Lonchura striata: one gene and its partner. The protein of the gene in region 2 interacts with the protein of the main gene of each other region in a pairwise test. Links are inferred from orthologs where the notes say so. Each region holds a gene or a part of one and is shown on either strand. Other genes may lie near its edges.

Evidence for each region.
Region 1: the proteins of FKBP1B (region 2) and RYR2 interact in binary tests that used the Homo sapiens proteins (3 or more experiments, as listed by UniProt). The link is inferred for Lonchura striata from reciprocal best matches to the Homo sapiens genes FKBP1B and RYR2.

Annotation. Positions count from the first base shown.
Region 1 is NC_134605.1:45,947,417-45,955,160, forward strand, and holds the start of RYR2 (ryanodine receptor 2), read left to right. Parts: upstream 1-4,733; 5' UTR 4,734-4,846; coding exon 4,847-4,894; intron 4,895-7,744. UniProt on the Homo sapiens protein: Cytosolic calcium-activated calcium channel that mediates the release of Ca(2+) from the sarcoplasmic reticulum into the cytosol and thereby plays a key role in triggering cardiac muscle contraction. Aberrant channel activation can lead to cardiac arrhythmia.
Region 2 is NC_134605.1:106,842,380-106,850,323, reverse strand, and holds the start of FKBP1B (peptidyl-prolyl cis-trans isomerase FKBP1B), read right to left. Parts: upstream 3,004-7,944; 5' UTR 2,906-3,003; coding exon 2,869-2,905; intron 1-2,868. UniProt on the Homo sapiens protein: Has the potential to contribute to the immunosuppressive and toxic effects of FK506 and rapamycin. PPIases accelerate the folding of proteins. It catalyzes the cis-trans isomerization of proline imidic peptide bonds in oligopeptides.

The sequences.
Region 1 (7,744 bases), about 61 Mb from region 2:
CATAAAAGTGTGAAATGGATGTATCTTTGTATACATTAGAGTCATATAGTACATGTATATAGTTACATAATGACATAACCCGTTGCAAGACTGAGAAAACCAGGAAATTCTATTTTAAGGATGCAATTTAATGTGCTCTTTTAATTTAAACCAACATTTTTTAGAAACATGTTATTGCCCTCCAAAATGACCAAAAGGCAAAAAAAGCCACCTTCAAAAACCCACTTCTGGTTTGGTGCCTCCCCACAGCTTCCAGGGAATTTATCAGAGTACATCAGAAAAAGATTAGAAGAGCAATAAAAACCTCAAAGGATGCAGGAACATGAAAACACAAGCAAACTATTTTTCCCCAAAAGATAACCTACAAGATCCATACCTCCTCTTTAATCTTAATAATCACCCTCCCTTCTTCCCCTGCCCCCGCCCCGACCCCCCCGATATCAAATAACAAAAAATAAGTTAAAAGCTTTGAACTTTGCCAGGAAGAATGCTTCATAATAGCTGCAGAACAGAAGTTTCTATAAAAGGATAAGCTTGGTTGTCTAAATTTTATTATAACACTGTATCCTGTGTAAAATTGTGCATACAGGCTATTTATAGAGTACAAAACATGTACCTAATGACAGACATGTAATTAACACTTATACTGTACTTTATGGGTTCAGACTAAACACTAACTGAAGAAAATGCAGTATATTATTGAACTCCAGGGTTATCATGACAAGCATATAACTATGTGATCTTAGACATAATTACTCTCACTTAAACTCTGCTAATCTGCAGTAAAATATTTTAAATTTTGTGCAGAATTGGGTCTACTAATTTTATTCTTTCCAAGTCACATTTGGGATCTAAACTGGCATAGATTTTACATTGACTCAGTTTCATTGATCACAGGGTGTTGATTTATGACATGTGATAGGAGATGCAATCTTTCTAGTTTTGCAGTATTTGGAATAACATGTTTGCAAGATTTATATTTGGCTGAAAAGTCTGACAAGACTGTAGAAAGAGCTGTAAGAAAGAGCAGCACCAGGAAGAAAGGATAGTATCTGCCCCTTTAAATTGCTATTGGCATTATCTTATTCTGTTCTTCCAAGAAGAAAAAAGAGTGTGGTAGTATAGTCTGCTATAAAAAACAAATAAACACCTGGGAGTTCCCCTCATGTTACTGAAAACTGAATGTTCACAATACTTATTATTACAAACAGCAAACATTGTTTGTTTTGCATAGAATATTACTTTGAGTTGTGCACACAAAATTACCTATGAACCTTCTTCTAATATTTAATTTAGATCATTAAAATTTATGAAATGAAAGTGCTAAAATTCTTAGTGTAAATTTATGTTCAGTTCAGAATCCTGCTGTGATACCTCAGAAGCGCTGTCATGCTGGTGCTGCTGTACTGCCTCTGCATCACACAAAGAAACCTGGGTTTTTTTGTGAAAATTGCTAAGGGCATATTATGGATCTTCACAGTGCTGCTGCCTTGATAATTGAGGCTTGCAGGAGCAAGAAGGCCTTGCTGAGCAAAGGCAAAATGCACTAAGTATCTGTCGTAGTAACAATTACAAACGGGCATGGACATGTGCAGATTTCAAGTGAGATTTTAAGAAGAACATAACAAGAATGGGACCACAAAAAGTCTACAGTAAGAAGCAGGTTTATTAGGTGGGAGAACTGGACCAAAAATTTGAAAGGCTGCTTCTAGATTGGGTGAAAAAGAAGTAGACATAGTACATGCATGTCATGCAAGACAACTGGATGGCTTACAAAACATAAACTAGAGCTGAAAGGGAATGCTAATTTTCTTGTGAAAACTTTTTGTTAAGCTCCAGAGGTTGTGTTCAAGCCTTTAAATTCATAAACTAGTACAGGATTCTTTTGACAGAAGTAGAAACTTTTGTTCTGCATTTTTTCTGTGGAAAGCACAGTTATCAGTGATAAAAATCGCCAGACTTATGGAAAACAGGGGGCGTGATGAGATGTAATAGAGACTAAAGTAACAGTGGGGAACTCAAAGTGAATTGCTATGGGGTTTACTGGCGTCTTGAACCTTGGGACTGCCACTCCTAGAGCAGGGACCCCTGTTCTTCCACACCCACACAAAATATTCAATTCTTCTGAATTCCACCTGTAAATATCAGCCATGGAGAGTGTTTATTTTTTCCACATTTCCCACTAGTTCATTGAAGAAATAATTCTGTGAACTTTATATTACTTCCTGTTATGATAGAAATGATAATGTTTTTCCATTTTTAACCATTATTTTCCATTGTTTTAACCAATCAGTTGCTTTTAATTATTCAATGCAGTTAAACATAACTTCTGAGAAATACATCACATCAGCTAAAATGCTGGAACTATATTTAATATGTATTTTTGCACATGTGTACTGCACATATGAATATTTGTCCTTGATGACTAATTTAACAAGAAGCTTCCATCTACATTATGCCTTATCACCCTGTTCAGGAAGTTTCTGGAGGAATCTTTACTACTTTTAAACTTTGTTTCCTAAGCAAATTATCTAATATGGTGCATGTGTCTCTGCTACTGAATAATATCTTTTGAACTAAGTGGAAAATTCCAACAATTTCACGGAAGGTTAATAGTATCATACATGCTCCTAGCCATTTCATTAGAACAGATGCATGGGTAAAGAAGATACCAGATAACAGTCTTTGGTGTCTGAAAAACTGCAGCATACATTTCACTCATATTAGACACCAAAAAAACTGTGTGTTAGAGAAATATTACTGCCCTAGCATGGAGAAGATTAATGTGAAGTTGTTGTCTTTGTAAACACCAAGGAGTCTAATTATGAGCTCCAAATCTATAAGAAACCAGGTATGATCAGTTCAACTGTTCTTGGAATGATTTCCAAGATGACATAATGTGCTGAAAACTACAAAATGTTTCAGGCACGGATGTTATATTGAACTAATTACAATTTTTTTTCTTTCCTTTCTCTATAATGTCCTTGCTTTACATGCAGCAAACAAAAAAGGCATTTAATCTGATACTCATATTCATAGCCTTATGGAGAGTACCCTGGATGTTCTATGATCCAGACCTTTGACCAGGTGAACTGAGATTTCCAACCATATGAAATACATTGACAAATAGTTGTGCTGGAACTGACTTGTGTGCTGAGCAGGAGAAAGAGATAGGATAGTATGATAAAAGATAATTTGTTCAGTGCCTTTTCATGAAATCTAATTTTTTAAACTTATCCAAATTCAGGACTTCATAATTGGGGTCTATTTCAATAAATATCTCTCAGTCTAAATAATTTAGAGAAGAGATACTTAAGAGGTTTGAGTTAAATATGAATAAACAACATCAAAAAATGTCTTTATAATTCTTAAAAAAAATATACTTTCAGTCAGTAGTAGTCTTGAGAGGTAAAAGTCACTTGAAGTCAGTAGTAACTGAAACCAGGATATTACAGAGGAAATGCTTAAGCTGTCATAACTCTGGAGTTCATCTTCAGAATCTCTATATTAAACATTCATACATTACTTGCTCTAGAGGTCTTATGGGTCATGACTGCTCTTGCAGTTTCCAATCTGTCAGATGAACACGTTTTCCATTGTTGGAAATAATGATAAAATCTCAGAGTGCCACGCTTTTTCACGATGTCCTTGAACAGCATAAAGTTACAGATTATGGGTATAGCTTCTCTAGAAGCACTTTCCATGTATTTTGCAATGCTAGTCATACAGTCTGTTTACCAAAATAATTGAGATTTCATTACGTTTACCAGTTTTGGTCCTTCGGAAGCCTTCTGCAGTTGTACATCTCGCACACATTTTACTCTGTCAATGATCCAGTGTTAATTTTACTCTTTTTTGAGATACCCTGTTGTCCTCCCCTCATGACTATTGCATTGCACTAGCAGAGGCTCTCTGCTATACGCTTGTTTCAGAGTGCTGTTGCTGTTAGGAGTCTGGTGGCTCTCTGGCTTGTCAGACTTCTTTCTGTAGGCCAAGCATCATGTCTCTGATGGACATAGGTGTCCTCTTAAAAGTATGATCTACACGAATGCTCATGAAAGATGAGCCATTCCCTGGCAACCCTTGACTTCACCCTATGGAAAACGCATGGTATATATTCTTCAAGGAAATTAGATTTCAAAGCCTTACATTCACCCTGGGTTAAGCTCATTCACGCGACGGTTCAAGTACAACACCGGGTGAAGCCATGTTGTACCTTCCATCTCTTCTCCCCGACAGTAGTCGGCTGACAAAATAACCGGCGCAGAGCCGTTCAGCTCTCGCTCTCCCGAGGTATCCCTCAGTGCAGCACGTCACGCCTAACTCCTGCGGGACAGCCGTGCCCGGCAGCCAGGGCGCCGAGCGGCCGCCCTGGAGACTCCGGAGGGGCGGAGGCAGCCCCAGGCTGTGCCGTGCGAGGTGAACGGGCACGGCGGCTGGGGCAGCGGCCCCGGGCGGGCGGCAGCCGCCTCCCGGCGGAGCTCCGGCAAGGGGCGCTGGGCGGCGCCTTTGGAGTGCGGAGGGAGCGGGCTGCGGATCACCTGCAGCGGCGGGGGGGCCGGAGCTCCGCCTCCCCTCCTCCCCCGGTTAATCGCATCCCCCTCCCCGCGGCAGGCACAGGCAGCCGGGCAGCGCTGTCGACCTGCGGCAGGCGCACGGGCACCCGCACCCCGCTCGCAGCCGGGGCCGGGCTGGGGCCGCCGGCTCTGCCGCCCTCGCACTGCCCCAGCCCGGTGCGGCGCGGCCGTGACCCTCCTGCCGCCGCCAGCCCGCGGGGAGCGACCGCCGCTGCCGCCCGTCCGGGCACCGGGAGCAGCGCCCGGCAGAAGGAGAGACAGGGGCAGCCATGGCCGAGGGGGGCGAGGGCGAGGACGAGATCCAGTTCCTGCGAACTGTAAGCGCCGCGCTTGCCTCCCTCCCCTCCGCGCTGTGGCGGGGCTCCGGGCGGGCCGGGGGCTGCGGGGGCGACGCCCGGACCGGCTGGGGTGGGAGCCGGGCGGGGGCAGCTCGGAGCGGCTCCGCAGCCCCGAGCCCGTCCCTCTCCGCCGGCGGCGTGTGGCTCCGCAGCCGGGCGGGGGCCGAGGGCTGCGCTGGCCCCCGGGATGAGCGGCAGGGCGGGCGGCCGGGGGCGCCGGGCACGGTGAGGGGCGGCGGGCGGGCGGGGGCGAGCGGCGCCTCCCCAGCAGCACCGCTCCGCGCTGCCGCCCCGGCCGCGGGCGGTGCGCTGCTGCGGATACTGACCGAGCAGCCGTCCCCAGCGCGAAAACTGCGATCGCACTCCCTTTGCAAAAATTGGCTTGTGGAAAAAACCCACCTCTCTCACCCTGTCCCCTCCCCGCGGAGGTTCCCACTAACTTGCAGGCGTTCTCCTCGCCGGGCACAGACTAATACGGCTTTTTCTGGCGTGCGCATCCTTTCGTTACTTCTGTCCAGGGCATGTTAAGGCGCTAGAGCGCTTCTTCCTTCCGTTTAATTAATGCATCGGGACTGCTGCATCTAATGCTTATCTGGATTATATTTCTTCAAGCAGTGATTTTATTTATCTTCTCGGCCATCTCCCGAGTGCCGTTTATATGCACAATCCTAGCAAGTTTTGCAGATAGGCATCTGCATCTAGAATGGTGGTGGATACAAACCGTGCCACAGTTTGAGGAAAAATTGCTGAGACATTTGTTAAGTAGAGCTGGAAGCACTGAGACTGTAGGATAAAGCTTAACTTCCCTTTTATTTAGTGCTGTCTGATTTAGAAAACGTTCACGTTCAATGGCTTGTAAGAAAATACATCTACAAGGGGGTGGAAAGAAAGCGACATAGTATATGTGAAACATATTCATATGCTGTTTGCAGCATTAAGAATCCTGGTTCTCAGTTGTCTTCCATTTCTATCAGAAACCGCACAATAATAGATGTGTACCTTAACATTATTTTAAAAAATTTTTGAAGAGTCTTAGAAAATCTGCTTTTACAGAAAATACAGCTGTTACGCAACGTTGTCATGAAGATCGACAACTTTTTTTTCCTGTCAGCATTATGTGACTGGTATTGTAGTGTTGCCTAACACCTAAAAACAAAACAGAAAAATATTTCTGTGAAAGAAAATTTGTCGTCTCGATTCATGAGAGGTTTTTTTTTTTTTATTAATAGTTTTCACTGGTAAAAAAATTTTGGAAGAGTTGTACCATGGCAGCCTTTCTGCAGACATGAATGTTAAGCTTAGTTCATGTTATCTGAATGCTTAATAGGGAAGGAGAAGCACTGAGCATGCTAATACAGCTCAGCAGATCTACAGTGATGTTAACTCCAGCACCTGACAGCAGCAGCATGTTATGTAAAACAGCACTCCTGATAATGTGTGAGGCTTGATACAAATTTGGCAAACCCAGTCTTAGATAATACTTGAAAATGTTTAGAATGTTGCACCAGTGGTAAAATGACCTTGAATGTGGTAAACTGAAGCTTTGGGGAGGCATGTGGTGTGGTTTAATCAAAAGGGCCTGAGAAACCTGTTTCATGTGAAGTTTTGGGTTTATAATCTGAAATGGTATGTAAGCAGTGATTTTTACTCTTCTCTTCCTTCCACTTTGTCCAAGTTATGAGCATTACTTGGAAAAGCCAGTGCTTTCAGACTTTTTTTTTTTGATGTAGTCTTCCACCTCTCAATTGTTAGAAGGCTTTGATTTGTGGTCTCTAAAGCTATTAGATGTGTGTAACTTTCTGAAGGCCGTTGGTAGAAAGCACTGGAAATTTGATATTACCCTGGTAATTATTACAGTTTTTATTTATTTTTAAAATACTAATTAGGGGTAGATGGATTCATAAATGTTTTGTAGATAAACAAGAGCTTTTCAAAGAACACTGTATGTAAGCAAAAAGCATTCTGTGCTTTCAATACTTTGAGGATGACATCTGTAGGCCTACTACATGTAAACAATGCTCTTCATATTTTCTTCTTTTGGTAGGACCTGATAAACTTCCTAGAATCTTTAGAGTCTACCCTGGAATGTAAACACTATTTTTTTAATGTTTAGAATTGCACATGAGATTTTATTCAATTAAAAATGCCCTTTATTTGCATGGAGCTACTAAGTTGAATTTGTATTTTTGCTACATGTTGATTGGAAATTTTGATTTTTCTCTTCTCTTCACACATTCTTATCTGTCTAATGATTCCTCTTCTTTACTTGCTGCTATTTTTTTCCCCCTGGTTTGGTTTTGTTTTGGTAAAGTGGAATTAAGCATTACTTCCTGCAAATTCTGCTGCTAGGATGGATTTCTGTTTCTTTTGGGAATAATTTGAGATTGATACATCGCTTCTGAGATGTGAACACAGCCTCTTAATGCCCTGTATTTCTGGAAGCATCAGAGCATTGTTTGGGACAACTTTAGACAGACTGGAGCTCATCTCTGTGCTGTTCAGTTCTTCTCAAGGAACTCTTCTGTAGTCCTGTGAATTACTTGCTTCTCTGGAATCGGGGATCTTCCTCATTAGTTTGCCAAATGCTCCAGGTGGAGAGGAACTTGTATTATGTGTGGCCTTATTTAGGACATACATTCTCTTGACTTCTCCCATGGAATAAACCCGTACTGTGCAGGAGAAGTGAAGGGGAACAAGTATCCTGCTGTGTGTGTATTAGTTATGTGTCCAGGCAGGACCTCCTCCCTGTAGGGGAATTTGTTTTTTATTTTATAATACTAGAAAGATCAAGGATATGTGTAACATAGATTTCACTGTTTAGTCTTTACA
Region 2 (7,944 bases):
AAGCATTGGGTTGTAAAACACTGACTGCCCAGGCAAGTGGTGGAGTCACAACCCTTTCAAGTGTTCAGAACACACACGCATATGGCATCTGAAGGCACGGTTTAATGGTGAACATGGTAGTGGTGCCGGGTTGACGGCTGGACTTGATGATCTTAAAAGTCTCTTCCAACCTTAACAACTGCATGATTCTATGACTGTGTGTTACCAAATCACTAATATGCAACACAGGAATGGGATGGTTTAGGGCAAAAGGTCCCAGTTTGGCTGTGTTTAGCTCTTAGACCAAGTAGTATTTTTCCTAGATAAGTCTCCCTATATATACACGTGAATTACATATGCATTTACATTCTGTAAGTGCAAAAGGACAGTCAAAATCTCATGGATTATAACTTTTAATAATTCTCAGAATGTTTTTGCTATAATTTTTCAAATAAAGTCTCAGTCTGACATTGTGAGAAAATCCATTTGTATTCACATCTCTAATGCCTTCCACGCAAGAAAGACAGCTCTGTGAGGGCATCTTTAATTAGCAGGAATGGGGTTTACAGAAATTTTCACAGACAAAAGCAGTTTAATTTTGTAGCATCAGGCAACAGTAAAGCAGTAGTACACTGAGTTCTTTTAAGAGCTTGATAGCTCCTCCTAAAATGTTCATAGTGAAAGGAAAAAAAGCTTAAATTATTTGCTTGACACAAGATGAAATTACCATTTCCATTTTACTTGTTCTAGGCACTGCTAAAGGTACTGAAACCTAAGGGATGACTCTCAAGGCTCAATTAGGTGCCAATGGTGTATTAAAGATACTAACCATGATTTCTCAAGGTTGGCCAGGGGAGTGCCCAGGTTCAGAAGAAATTAAAAATATCAGTGTGGTTAATTATTAAGGAACATCCTTGATAGAAAGTTAAAAACTGGGGATTGAGTTAGGTTGTCCACAAAAGCTGTGGATGCCCTATCTCTGGAAACATTCAATGTCAGGATTGATGGGGCTTGGAGCAACCTGGTCTAGTGGAACATGTCCCTGCCCATGGCAGGGGAGTTGGAAGGAGATGATCACTAAGGTCCCTTCCAACCAAACCATTCTGTGATTCTATGAAACTGAGGCTCATCTCTTAGTTGGCTTTTTGGCTGTTTGGTCAAAATTAACATGATAACAAGTTCTGCATTACAGAGCACTTCAAAGGGTATAAACCAGCAGGTAGCACACAAGCTATGGCCTTAGGGATCACATGCCAAAACCACATGAGCAATAAGTGGTGAAGGGCAGGATAATATGATGAACCAAGATTTACAACACAAAAATTGATAAAGTGGTACTTCTAAGGGCTACCTGAACAGCCTTGTTCATTGGCTTGGCTGGCTGGAATATCCCTTATTGCACGTTGCACAAAATGCAGCAGGAATCTTTTAAGGTCACCATGGTATGCTAAAGTGGGATCCATCTCTTTTAAATTCACAGCCATTTAAACCACGGGCAACTATCGCATGCCAGTCTCCTGGGCTTCCTCTATTGACAGCAAAGAATTAGCAGTGCTTTGAGAGAAAGCCAGCCTATCCAAAGGAAGGCAAGACAAATTATTCCCTCGAGATGGCCACAGAGAAAACCCAGAAGACTGCTTTAGACTAGCCAACTAACCTGAGAAAAGTTATGTGAGATGAATCCTACCGCCAATAAAACAGGTATTATTAAAATGATCCACTATTATACAGAGATCTGAGAAAAGCAGTTTCAGACCTTATGGACACACACTCTGCTCTGTGAGTTTACCATCAGCAAAGCCAATGAAGCTACATAATTTCACATCAAAAATAAATTAAAAGCAGAGATTCGCAAGACCACTGACTCACTGTGGCTTAAGACAGTGTTTAAAGTCAGCTGATTTTGATTAAGACTTGCAACCAAGAGAACTAATCCATATAGCCTTATTTGGAATCACATATTACTTACAATGACAGCCGTGATCTATTTAATAGATAGTAAGTACTACTGTGAGGTAGTTCCATCCTCCTTCCTACTCCCAACTCACCACCATTATTTATGTGGGTATAAGTATTCTTTTTTTACATCTGTGAAACCAAGAGAAGAATTCGATCTCTAGAGCAAAACAGCACAGAGGGAGAAGCCAATTAGAAAGCATACACAAAGAATGGAAAGATACTGGGCCAAGAAACTTAATCTGCAATCAACTTGAACAAATTATTTATGGTTGCATATCAGCCAGTGATGAATCTGGCCTATTATATAGCTACATTTGTATGTTAGAAATCACATTATCTTAAAAGAAAAAAAAAAAAAAAAAAAACAAAAAACAAAACACAAAAACCTTACGGAATTATAATGCCAAGGAAGAGTAGAACACTGCGAATTGGCTCACGAAAGCCAAGCGCCAAGGAGAGGTGACTGCCACCCGGGCTGCACATCAGCCCTCGCCAGCATCCCACGCTGGACCGGGAGGCGGCGGCTCCTTGCCGGGGGATGCCGGCACGAACGGTCGGTGGCCCCGGCGAGGCCGGGCTCGCCACCGGGGAAAGTTTGGGCTCCCCGCCGGGCGCTGGCGCTGACCCCGCGCTCGGGCCGTGCAGCTGTCAGCGGATGCCACAGGAACCCCGGCCCCCTCGCCGCCGCTGCCGCCGCCGCGACCCCGGGCGGGCGCCTGGCCGCGCTCCGCCTCTCCCGCACCGGGGGTTCGTGCCCGCGGCGCTGCGGGGGCGGCCGTGCCTCCCTCCCGCCCGCCCGCTCCCCGCGCTCCCCGCGCTCCCCGCTCCGCCGCCGGCGGGGACGCGGCTCCCTCGCTCCCGGAGCCCCGCGGTGTCCGGCCGGACCCTCCGTCCCCGCGCTGCGGGGCTGCCCCCGGCACGGCTTCGTACCGTCTCCCGGAGAGATGGTCTCGATCTCCACCCCCATGGCGGCACCGGCTCCACTCAGCCCCGCTCCCCGGCGCGGCCGGACCCCCAGTGCGGGCAGTGCCCCTGGGCGGCCGCGGGCAGGGGCCGCCCCGGCTGCCCGTCAGCGCCCGCAGCCAATGCGGGGCAGGGGCGGGGAGGACGGGGAGGGGAGGGGAGGGGTCCGCCCGCCCCCGCTCCGAGCGCCCGGGGGCCGCGGGGACCAGGGGAACCTTGCGGCGGGGGCATCCCCCGCCGGCATCGCTCCCCCGCCCCACGGCCGTGCGGAGGGTGCTGCTGCCATCCCTCGGGCAGGGCTGGCTTTAGCGATGGTGCCCGGCGGAGCGCTCCTCCGGGGGTCTCGCCGGCGTTTCCCCCCGGTGCCCGTGCCCGTGCGCAGTCCGAGCGGCGGAGGGCTCAGGGCGGCTGCGGGAGCAGGGGGTACCGGTGCGGTACTGCTGCAGGCGCGCTGGCCACACAGGGAAACCAAGCGCCGTGCTTCAGCCCGTCCAGACACCAGGACACGGCCGAGTGCGAGTGGAGGGTCGGAATTTCCCGGTACAAAGAGCCATGGAGGAAGGCATCCGTGCTCGCACGACGTGTGCGCTGAAGGGAATGTCCCCCCGGTTCTACCGGTGAACGGCAGCATCGGGGCAGTGGTACCCACCGCTGGTGACCCCACACAGCAGCAGCAGCGGCAAGTCTCCAGCAGGCTGGCATGACCTTGAGTTTCAGTGTAAAACAGTGTCTAAGTTCCTATTCATATCCATGTTTTAAACTGGAAAATCTATTTATGTGTGGTGTTCCCATGATGTAAGATTACATATTCAACCTTGCTACAACTACTTCTGGGGAATGTACCTGAAACAGACTATTTCCTCATGCACTTACAGTGTATTCGAATCTCAGGAGTTTCCACTGCCTCTAAAGGAATAGTTCTGTTTGCAGTTCTGTGTTTTCTGAGTTAAAAATAAAAATGGAACCACAACGTCATCAGTTTTTCAACTGAAAGAGCTGTCTGTATCCATCTAATTCCAACTTGCACTTCTCTGACATTGCTTTTTCAAGATTTTTATCTGCTACAAACTGGGTTCTCTTCAGGGAAAAGGATCTTTCTCTGTGTGGGCAGTTGTCAGGATGACTGAACTGAGGAATTACTGTGCTGGTTCGTAACTGCAATAATGTGGCCCTTGCTCTTGCATGCATGCTCTGAACTACACTGACCATCTCCACACAGCTTTTCACATTACTCTGATCAGACTGTTTCTTCTCCTGGGTGCTCAATTGTATCTATCTTTCTTTGTGGGTCAGATACTCTGAAATACCAGGACTGGCTGCCTCTCACTCCCAAAAATGGGCAGGTGAGGAAAATCAAGAGCTCACGCGAGTTCAGAAGCAGTAATGAGGGCTGAACATGGATTCCTTTCACCTGCCTCCCATTCCAGTGAATTCTGCATCTGCAGGTAGCATGTACAGAATAAGCAGGCACTTACTGAAGTTTATCAGAGGAGGTCTGTAACAGTGGAAATTCTGAAACGGGATTCTTTTCCATTGCCAGTCTCAGAGTGTCATTTGACTTCTGATCAGTAGAAAGATACTAAAAATGCATTTGAGAAATAGGAAAATGCCAGGTAGGAGGTAAGTGGCACAGAAACATGTGTCTTAACACATGAACATTGCTAATTCCAGAGGTGCCTCTGAGTCATTACAAAGCAACAAGGACAGCACAAGAAAAGCTGAGCACATAAGGGGAGTTATAAAGGGAAATTCTAGGTACATGGTGTCTTACACCCCCTCTTGACTTTACAAGAAAGAACTGCTTTCATCCAGGCTCCAGGTAGATGTCTGTGTCCTCTCAGATGATCAGAGCATCAGAAGGCATAAATGCAATGAACAAAAGAAAATGATTCTTTGCTGTGTTCACTTTAGCTTTTATAATTGCATGTTTCCTTTGATCAGGCTACACATCTCTCCACAATGGGAGAATAGGTTTCTCAAGTTGTGTCTTGTGACAGGAGATTGGACCTAATCACATAATAGACATAGTTCAGATGGGATCACAGAATATCTCCTTCAAGTTTCATCATAAGTACCAGGCCTTAAAGGCAGATCACAGAATACTCAGGCAGACTGACAATCATAATAAAAAAGCAAAGGCCACCAACAGCAAAATTCAGAAGCCACAAAATGGGATTAGGAGGGACCAAGCTGTGGAAAATGTTGTATCTACAATCTTCCTATCCGATAGCCTCTTGCCCCATGGTGAGACTGTAAATGCTTCTTTAGGGCATGAGTTAATTAGATCCCCCACACTCATTTTCCCAAGACTATGGAAAGAAAGGTAAGGCCAATTTCCAAGACAGAAAATAAGGATCTGTAGAAAGCATATCAAAGTTGTTGGATGAATATGTTAAAAAATCTTTGACACCACAGATATTGAACCAAAAATAAAGTTATTTTTCCCCTCACAGTATTCACTGGAGGCATCGAGATCCTTAAATACATGCTATAACAAGTCTATAGCACATGAAGATCTAGGAAGAGTAGACTAAAATGAGGAATGCCCACATCTTCAGGAAAGGCTCTGAAATACAAGAAAATGTGGTTTAAAACTGGCAGGGAATTGGAGGGGAAACAGAAAGGACAAAGGGACTAAGAGGGAAAGTTCATGACCAAGAAAATTGATAAAATCAGATTATCAAAGCAGACCAGATTAGTGTATTAAGAATGCTCTTTGAAAGTCATTGCATGTCATTCACCTGCACCACCTTTGGGATCCAGTGTATCTGTTTCAAGGGCTAAGTCCAGTAGTCTCTCTCTCCAAAGCTCTGTAGAGCTCACGTTCCAAGTTGTTTACCACAAGACCTTCCCACAGCATGTTTTTCTATCCTGGCACCAGAAAGACCAGGCTGGAAAAGTGGAGGGCTCTCTCAACACTTATTCCCAAATATTTTGATAGAACCACATGACTTCAACATCTAAGATTACTCAGTGGTCACAAAGAGGACAATTTGCCACAGTCATTATGAGAAAAACCCAAAACCTCAAAGTTTAGCAGATGAATATCCATCCCTGTTTTTTTTGTTTTTTTGTTTTTTTTTTTTTGTAGTTAAAACCCCTACAGCCAGCACTGTTTACAAAATATTTATGCATTTCCACTTTTAGGAAGACAAACAGTTTTCAAATTTTTTAGGGTGTTTTAACGTTGTTCATAGCTCCTATATTGTGAAATCCCATTCTTCATTGTTTTTAAAATCTACAAAGCATCTACAAATCATGTGTAATAGATTCCATATGCACACAAAGAACACCCCTGGAAGGCAAAGCACTAAATTTTCCATAAATGGAAAGCACAAATTCTGCAAATGTAAAAATTCACAGAGGCCACAAAACACCCCCAAGAATGCACATTTCCCTCACCAGCATCCATGGATAAAAAGCCAGCATTGCTTTGAAATCCAACCAGTGTGATATGAATAGTGAAAACAAACTAAAAATGTGTTACCAATACTGACCTTTCCATTCAGTGAACCAACATGTGCAACCAAGTAATTTTAATCCCAAAGTGTACAGGTCATGCAAAAACAGCACCTCACTGGAAAAAATCCTGACCAAAAAAATAGCAGCCTGCAGAGCTCAGCAGGTCATGTCACTGCGAATGTTCCTGTGCATCATGAGCATTGACAAAAGAGAGTCAGCCAGAATCCATGATTCCTCTCAAAGCACATGCTTAGGGTAAGTCTGACAGCACACCCACAGTGACAGCCATGTGATTAACAGATGAAACCCAAAAATCTCATTGTGCCTGTCTCACTTCTCACCACTGCTGGTTACCACAGGTCTGCAGCACAGTCACCTCCTCCCAACTGATACTTGTTCCAAATGCCCCAAAATGGAATAACATTTCCTCCTGAAGTGATTATTCTGAATCCTCATCTTCCTCTTTGAACTACTTATCCACATCTGTATCTATAGTTTCATCTTGCAGGTGTAGCTCTGAGTGCAAACTGCAGCTGGATTTTTTCAGTAGCACTAAAACTGCCTTGAAAGCCACCACCTCTCTCACCAAGCTCTTCTCAACTCAGATGTTCACATATTCTCTCACAACACTTATATGTGAGTCATTATTAAGGTCTCAGACCTGATCTTCAAAGCCTTTTACAGGACCAGGTGAGGTAACCTCAGGTATGCACAGGGAAGACTCCAGCTCATCAGGATATATGCCAGCAGCTACTAGAGTCAAGAAATTGCTAGTTAAGTTCTGGAATGGAAGTAAAAATTCCACTAGACCAACATCTTAATAATGAAGCTTGCTTCCAGAAGAGATTAATGCAATCACTTCCAAAACCACATGAATTTAGACAGACTCATAGTCTCACATACTTGTCTCCCCAGTACAAGGACATACTGCAGCAAGCCCAGCCATTCCAATGTTTTTAGTGGTTGGAGAACATGGAGAGAAGGAGGGAGCTGGTTTTGGGAAGCTCTGTCTTCTTCAGCCTGCAGAAGACAGAGAGAAGAAGGATCTCAGTTACTGTCTACAACTGTCGAACAGGTGGTGGAGAGGATGGTATCACACTCTGCTCAGAGATGCCCAACAAAAGGACAAGAAGCAATGGACACAAGTCATAGCAAGGGCAATTCTGAGTATATATGGATAAAAAAATCTTCAGAAGATGAGTTATCAAACAAGGCCTAAAGGAACCAGAACAAACTGATGTCAGCTGTGTTCCAAGCAAGAAATTGAACCATATGGCCTTCAAAGATCCCTTCCCCTAAACTGATGTATGAGTCTGTAATATTTTTCATGCAACATGGAGAAGGAAATGAAAAAATGGTAGTGAGGTTAACCACAATTCCAACATTGACTGCAGGATCTTAAATCAACTTGCAATGCATAATGCTTCAAAGTGGTTAATACACTAGCTAGCACCTCAGATGCAATATAAATATGAAATTGCAACATCCATCCAGACTAATTAGCACACATGCAGATTGCTGCAGTGATATCGCTTCACTGCCTACTCCTTTGAAGGCAGCTTGCTGAATTGAAATTATGCT